Linked DNA regions of Ovis aries. Each later gene encodes a partner of the first gene's protein in a complex. Links are inferred from orthologs where the notes say so. Each region holds a gene or a part of one and is shown on either strand. Other genes may lie near its edges. The genes, in order: RANBP9 and GID4.

Region 1 (3,380 bases):
CCCCACCCCCGGTATGGCAGTAAAAGTCTCTAACTGAAGCTCTCTGATGTGTTTGTCTCAGGTATTTTGGTGCCACTGATGAGACTCTCACAGAATATGTGGAAGAGTATCCAAGCGTAGATAATTGTTCTTTTAAAAGAAGGTTTAAGACTCAGTGTACAGCCAACAGACACCTTTGCCAAACCAAAGGATATGGTCATTCTGTTGAAGAGCTTGTTTATATTTTACTTTTAACCAGTTTGGGGGTTTGCTTTAAAACTGGCAAGTCACACACCATATGATGATCATGAAAATAAGATCGACTCCCTGCTTTCTGCATCATCTATAGCATCAGGTTTGGCCCTGATCCAGGGAGGCCAGTAAATGCAAGGCAGTCTTGGGTTGCAGAGCTCAGATTTATAGTAGCAACCACTCATTCTAACTTGTTCTAACTTTACTTGTTCTAACTTTATATTAATCATAAGTATGCAGGTACCTAATGTATAAATTCAACTGACACTCTGGTATCTGTAGAAGTAAATTTTTAATGGCTGGTTAATTATATCACTACATTTTTATTGCAATATAGTACTCATTTTAAGCACTTAAAAATGGAAGGTGTACAAAGATTAAATTAAGACACAGTAAATTGACTAAATATTTGGTTTTTATATAAATAAAGGTCATAACCACACTGTTGACATGTAATACTGTTATAATACAACAGTTCAACTTGTGAGTCTACAACAGAAGTCATCTGTAGTTAAACAGGAAACAAAGTTGAGAAAGACCATGTTAAAACAAAACTACTGGGACTAACAGGTCGGGATTGTAAGTAGCAACAAACATATTCACTCAGCTCCTGAGTATTTCAAGTTTTACAGTACACATTAAAAATGATTTCTTCCATCAACACTATAAATTCAAACTGTCAGATGTTTATGCATTTTGCAAGTTACACTGATTGAATGCTTATATGGGAGCGGGGGTCAGAATACCTCCCAATTTGAAGTTTACATCACCCACATGCTAACACAAACACAACTTGTTCCGTTTCCTTCCCCCCTCTCTCCCCCCAACAACGAAGGCAGGACTTTTTGGTTTCTTTTAGGTAATTGTTTTAGAGGATTTGTGATGATCAATTTGAATGTCTGGAATTCAGTAATATTCAACTCTTAGACAACTAAGAGGCTAAAGATGGAAAATAATTGCTCCTAACACTAAGTTAGAAAATCATTTGCATCATGCTGTAAACTAGGAAGCAATGTAAAGCGACAAAAACCTGTCCCCAGTACATAATTAAAAAAATCTAAGTTTCAGATCAGCAGAGCTGGTCTACTTCCATGTCGTCTATATGCCGCAATGTAAGTGTGAGCTCCGAAAATGCATAGCTAATGTAGGTAGTCGTCCACTGTGGCAAAAGCACAGGATCCGATTCCTGATCGAGCCATCAGTCCCAGACACTGGGTGGCCTGTCCCATGGCTAGGGCGAGTGGAGGTTGCTTTGGCAGATTGTGGGTTTCTGTGGAAAAATGATTAAAAGTGGAAACGCCAATTAGCAAGACATTTTAAACAGCATCTCTCAATCAGGAAAACACTGCATTGCTTACAAAATTACCAATGCCTGTACTGCACTTAACAAGCTAAGTAGCAAAGGTGGTTTTTAAGCAAACAATACCTTGGACATTACTTTGACAAGGTACTATATGGTCACTGGGTTTTCAAGTAGTAGTAAATTCTTGCAGAACTAAGACTGTTAGATATTCAAAAAATTTACTTCCATATTTACTATGATGGGAATGATGTAATTTCTTAACTAATGTTTATCTAATGTTGACATTACCAGAAAAAAAGGCACCAGGCGTTCAGTAAAGTTTTACTGATGGATTCTTCATCTTTCTGGGGATACGGCCCAACAGAGGCCACCTACTCCTCTCCAGGGCACAGTGGTGAATGCTATTTGGGTTGGTAAGCACATTGTTACACTTTTACTTTGGCCAAGGGAGGCACATCAATTATAACTGTCCTTTAGACTTTTTTGGAATACAAAACTTGCAGGCCTCACATACAGTAATGTAACTTGAAGCCCCATTGAGACGTGAAGCTCTACAACACAGCACAGTATACAAATACGCACCCCCCCCCCCCAGCAGTGTAAGTCTGGTCATTCCTTTTGCAGGAACTACATATAGTTAATGAATTTAAGCACTATTTGTAGTTGAACTACATAATTTAGGGCACAATATGTAAGACTATATATATATCTCCTGGATAGTGGTCCTAAGCAATTGACTACTTGAAATTTTAATTCCCCTGGAGAACATAAGATTCTTAACTGTCACATGAAAACTGGTCACTTTTCTTCAAAAATTCTGAATCTGAGCGTTACCCAGATAGAAAGCAATTAGGACTTCATGATTACCTATAATGTAGTCATTTCAAAAAGACAGTTACAGTAAACTATAATTTGCCCTACAATTCTAGCACTGCTACTGAGTATACTTATTTTTTATCAGTAGAACTAAATTAATTTTGAATAACCAAAGCAACATATTAACCAAAGTTCACATCATTATATACAAATCCTAAATGTGAGAAAATTATAACAATACCAATTCCTATGCCCAAACTTCACTATTAAGCCACAACACAATTAATTAATAATGAACTTTATCAGAGAAAAGAAGTAAGGCCCCAATGTCAGAACTCTAAATTGCTCCCCTGGCTTTGGCTCCAGTCTCCTGCCTGCACACTGACACTGTGCACGGCCCTCATCTAAGAGTGTCTCACATGTTCCTCAAAGCTCCCAAGCCTAATGGCCAAACAGCACACAACAGACTTTAAACTGGTAGCTCCCATTTTTCTTGAGGAATTACATTCTAAAATGGAAGGTGAAAAGTCACTCATCCAAATTCCCTTTGAAAAAAAATGCCCAGGTATTAAAATGTCATTTTATGTAAATAATCAACCCTATGTAGTTTATACTGGAGAAGGCAATGACACCCCACTCCAGTACTCTTGCCTGGAAAATCCTATGGACGGAGGAGCCTGGTGGGCTGCAGTCCATGGGGTCACTTAAGAGTTGGATACAACTGAGCGACTTCACTTTCACTTTTCATTTTCATGCATTGGAGAAGGAAATGGCAACCCACTCCAGTGTTCCTGCCTGGAGAATCCCAGGGACGGGGGAGCCTGGTGGGCTGCCGTCTATGGGGTCGCACAGAGTCGGACACGACTGAAGCGACTCAGCAGCAGCAGCAGCATGTAGTTCATATATAAATGCATAAAACGTGCAGTTACTGAATTCATTTAAAGAGCATCTGTTCAGTTTATAAGCACCGCACTCTGCTCCCAAGGAATGGCTACCAGTTGGGACAGCAAGTCCCGTTTCCCACTTTGGG
Region 2 (4,338 bases), on another chromosome or scaffold:
AGGACAGAGGAGCCTGGCGTGCTGCAGTCCATGAGGTCACAGAGAGTCGAATATGACTTAGCAACTGAATAGTGTTGGAGGGGTGTGGCACCTAAGGATTCTTTCTGGGGGTAATGAAGATGTTCTAAAATTAGACTGCAGTGGCAGTTACACAGCTTTGGGACCACACTGAAAACTATTGAACTGTACACCTTACATGTGTGACTTGTGTGACAGGCGAATCATACCTCAATAAAGCTCCTATGAAAAATAGAAAGAAAGCAGGAAAGAGGCGGAGTTACAAAACTCAGAAGTTTCTAAGATGACAGAGCCCAAGAACCCAGTTGTGGCTGAAAAACCAGCTGATTGGGCAACTCACAGGCCAGACTCTGCGACAGTAAGACACTCACCCATCCAGGTCCAGGTGCAGGGCAGCATTCCTGGGTGTGACTGCCGCCCCCACCAGCAGAGGGCCGACTCCAAGTGGCCTCCAGCCACTGGCCAGGTCACTCTGGCCACCCTGGGACCTGCCAGTTGTGCACCAACCCAATCCCTACTCCCACCAGTTCACAAGGGAATTGGCACCAGCAGGAATTCAGAAACAACACACTGAGGACAGGGAGGGGAGCTGCCGCAGGAACCAAGATTTGTCTGTGATACCAGGCTGCTCCGCCACTGGTCCCCAACCCCATTAGACACCATCAAACTCAACAAGAGGCCCAAGTCAAGATCATCCCAAACATGACCCACACCAGGCATCTCACTTCTAGAATTTTATGATGAGCTGCAAAATGTAAAAGAGTCTGTATCTTCCTACTCAATTCTCACATTTGGAGCAGAAGAGAAGGGAGATTGCCACAGTGGTCGTCTAATGGTGAAAGCTGAAATAACTCAGCTACGACCCTTTTCTTTTCCTGGCCTTGTCTCACAGCTCGAAGGATCTCAGTTCCCCGAGTAAGGACTGCACTTGGGCCACAGTCCAGTGAAAGCGCCAAATCCTAACCATGAGACCACCAGGTAATGCCCATCTTTTTAATTACGATAAACATCATAGCTCATGTTAGAAATTTCAGTTTGTAGACCAGAGACACAATTAACAGAGATGGAGTTCTCTTGATCTAAAGTAAAAGACTTACTCCCACAAAGCAGTAAGATAAAAAGAGGCAGATGAATCGGCAGTTGGTGGAGACAAAACATATCCCCGTTGTCTTTAAGGTGGGAGAAGAGAGGCTGAGAAGAGAGGCTGTTTGAGATTTAAAATCAGCAAAGAGCAAAGGACAGGAGAAAAATTCTGTCCTCACACAACCTACATTCTACATCTACATCCTACATTCTGTCCTCAGACAGAACATCAAAGCTTCTGCAAGACCTTTGAGGGGACAGTGTTTGGAGGAGCTTTTAGGCACAGCTCAGGAGGTGAGGTATCAGACTGAAGACAACAGGGCGAAGGGAGGAGGAAGTGGGTCCTGCTGCAGGCCTGAGCAGATAGACAGGAGGAACAGTTTTCCAAGAAGGCAGAGAAGAAAGAGGATTAACCACTGCCGATCTCCTTGGGCCGGGAGGAAATGTCAAGTGTGCTCCCATCGACATGAGAGGAGTGAAGTGCAGGAAGGAGCTGGGACAGGTAAAGCTAAAGTTCCAAAGCCATTAGGAGCTGGCAGCAGGTTCTCAGAAATCCAGGTCAGATGGGGGGAGGAAATACCATATGAGAAATAAAAGTGGGTGAGTTACATTTCCTAGCATGAGTATCAGAGACTACAAAGGAAGCCCTGACATGTGGATCAAAGTTAAAAATACAGTAAGAGGGTCCCCTAGAGCCAGGAAGGAGGAGAACAGAGAGATGGGGAGGTCTGGGCAGACAGATGGACAGAACAGGAGTGGACTGGAAGTGGAAAGAGGGTGGGGAGTAGGGAGTGTCAAGAGTCTGAGCCAGGAAGAGACTATGGGTTGGGGGCTAGGAGATCAGCTTCTAACAGACTGTGAGGAGCCCACTTAGGATGTGAGTGCCCAGGCTAAGGAATGGGCCAGCAGTCCAGGTGGGATGGGGGCCCTCAGGTCCCGGGGCTGATGGAGAGAGGAGGCGGATGAAGCTCTGCCGGGGAGGAAACCCCCGGAGAAGGAGGCGGGTCCCAGGGCCTGGGGTTCATGGGACCGAGGAAAACGTGGGAGGCAGCAGGCACGTCTAGGGCCTGGGAGCGTCCAGAGTCAGAGGGAATCCCTGGAGAGTTTCCCGGACGGGGTCCGAGAGGGACTGAAAGAAAGACTGTTGCCGGGGCGACAGGCCACGGGGAGGCAGGGCCGGATCTGAGGCGGCCGGTCCCCGGCTCGGGCCCGCAGGGTTGGGGTGCGCCGGAGGGCCCCCGGCAGGCCCGGGCAGCAGGCCCGTCCGTGGCCGCGGGCCCCAGGGGGCGGCGGCGTGGCCCGGTCCGTGGACGTCTCGAGAGGCCGGGCCGCCGGCTCACCTGCAGCACTACCTCCACGTCGTACGAGTTCCCCTTGCTCTTCTGGTGGCCGCGGAACTTGGAGCCGCTGTAGAGCAGGCTGGTGGCCACGCCGGGCTGCTGCGTGTTGATAGGCGGCGGCGGGATGAGCGAGGCGGCGGAGGCGGCCGAGGCACCGGCCGGCGGGGGACACTCGGTGCGGACCGGCATCGCGGGGTCCCCCGGAGCCAGGGCTGGGGGAGGGGGAGGAACCGCCGCCGCCGCGCGGAAGCCGAGGGCAGACGGAGGAGAAGCCGGCGCGCGCGTAGGGCGGGAGGGGTCCACCCGCCGGCCGCAAGCAGATCGAGCGCTCCGGCCACCACCGGGACCCCGGGACCTGCGAGCAGGGCCTCCGGGTCCTGAGCGAACCCCCTCCCCGCCTGCGCTCGCACACACACCCCTTCCGATTGGCTCGGGCGCGCTGAGGGGCGGGATCAGGCTGGCTCGGCGATTCCGCCCATTGGCGGGCGGGGAAAGCACGTGGCGGGAGCCGAGGCCCTCTGGTACTTGTAGTCTTTTTCCCGAGGCGCGGCGCGGGGGCGGGGCCGGGGCGTTTGTGATGCTGATTGGCTGCGGCGTGCGCTGAGGCGCGCGGCGGCGGCGCGCTACGAGTGTCGTGCGCAACATGGCGGCGCCCCAAAAGGGAGAGGGTGCCGGCGACTGGTGAGGAGGTTTGTGGAGTTCGAGCACACGGCGTGTGGTCCCTCCGCTCCTTTTCCCCGAGCTCTGGTTTCGAGCGGTCGTTCTCTGAGGCCCCCGCGCGATGTGGAGGAGCTGCCTTCGGCTGCGGGATGGGGGGCGTCGCCTCCTGAACCGGCCCCGAAGTGGCCTCACCGCCTCCGAGGGGCTGGGGCGAAAGCCCCCTATCCCCTTCCGGGCCTACGTGCCCCCGGCAGGTGAGAGAGGCCAGGGCGGAGCAGGCTGAGGGGTCGGCCATGCAGGGTCACACGGTGGGAGGGAAGTTCCCCGCGAGGGCAGGGATCGCTCCAGGGCACACGCGCGTCGTTTCCTTTTGGCAGGTGCGGTTTTTCTCTCTTTCACTGGGGAAGCAGAGGTCATCCTTATTTTCAGGCGGGGAAATTCGACTTCTGGGTCGGGATTGCGCTAGAGGCGCGAAGCAGACTCAGAGGTTTGCGGGGCAAAGGCCAGTCTGCTAGGCTGCTTTCTGTGTCCCCGCGACCGGCACTGAAGGGGCCTGAAGCTCGGGCTTTAAGTCTTCCATCCCGGCCGCTTGCTCCACAGCTGTCCTGGCCCTGCCTCCTGCTGCCCTCCCAGAACACCTGCCACCTCTTCTAAGGAGTTGACACCCCGTGCCCCCTTCCTGCACTTCCGACTCGGATGAGGCTTTCTGTAGCGGATCTTTCTTACTCCTAGGCAAAGATTTTGGGATAAGAGTGGGACTGACTTTAAGTGAGTGAAGACAGTAACGCTTTCTTTCCTGCCAGTTAGTACTGTGCTGAAGGTGGGGGTGAGGAGAAGGTCACTGCGGTGTTGGAGCTGTTCCGAGGTCGCCCGTGTGGCCTCCAGTCCCCTACCAGCTGTCCCAGCCATCAGCTGCATAGAGAAGAAAGGTCTTCAGAGAGCCTGCCTGTCCAGCTGAGGAGTACACCGGTGAAGTCAAAGCTGGGGGTCTCTGCTTACAAGTTGTCTTGTCTGCACAAGTGGTTTAGCGTCTCATTGTCTGCCTCCTCTAAAGAGACAGCTTGTGCTGGATTGAGGGAGATGCTGTAGATAGGGAGGCCAGCCTGCCACCTGTTTTTGTAAATAGTTTTCCAGGAACCCAGGCCCGCTCATTCACTGACACACACCTAAGGCTGTTTTCACTACAGTGCAGAGTTGGCTGGTTGTGCCAGACACTGGATGGCCTGCAAAGCTTAAA

What was found.
Region 2: the proteins of RANBP9 (region 1) and GID4 are in contact, whole or in part, in a cryo-EM structure (PDB 7NSC), measured with the Homo sapiens proteins. The link is inferred for Ovis aries from reciprocal best matches to the Homo sapiens genes RANBP9 and GID4. Residues at the interface, in NP_005484.2 of Homo sapiens: Ser223, Lys224, Gly225, Arg226, Asp227, Gly228, Tyr229, Met230, Gly256, Asp257, Thr274, Phe275, Thr276, Thr277; in NP_076957.3 of Homo sapiens: Leu187, Arg189, Asp194, Glu195, Asn216, Asp218.

Annotation. Positions count from the first base shown.
Region 1 is NC_056073.1:42,218,896-42,222,275, reverse strand, and holds the end of RANBP9 (ran-binding protein 9), read right to left. Parts: intron 1,502-3,380; coding exon 1,371-1,501; 3' UTR 507-1,370; downstream 1-506. UniProt on the Homo sapiens protein: May act as scaffolding protein, and as adapter protein to couple membrane receptors to intracellular signaling pathways. Acts as a mediator of cell spreading and actin cytoskeleton rearrangement.
Region 2 is NC_056064.1:34,268,897-34,273,234, forward strand, and holds the start of GID4 (glucose-induced degradation protein 4 homolog), read right to left. Parts: upstream 2,869-4,338; 5' UTR 2,631-2,868; coding exon 2,442-2,630; intron 1-2,441. Other genes in the region: ATPAF2 (ATP synthase mitochondrial F1 complex assembly factor 2), read left to right, coding at 3,223-3,355.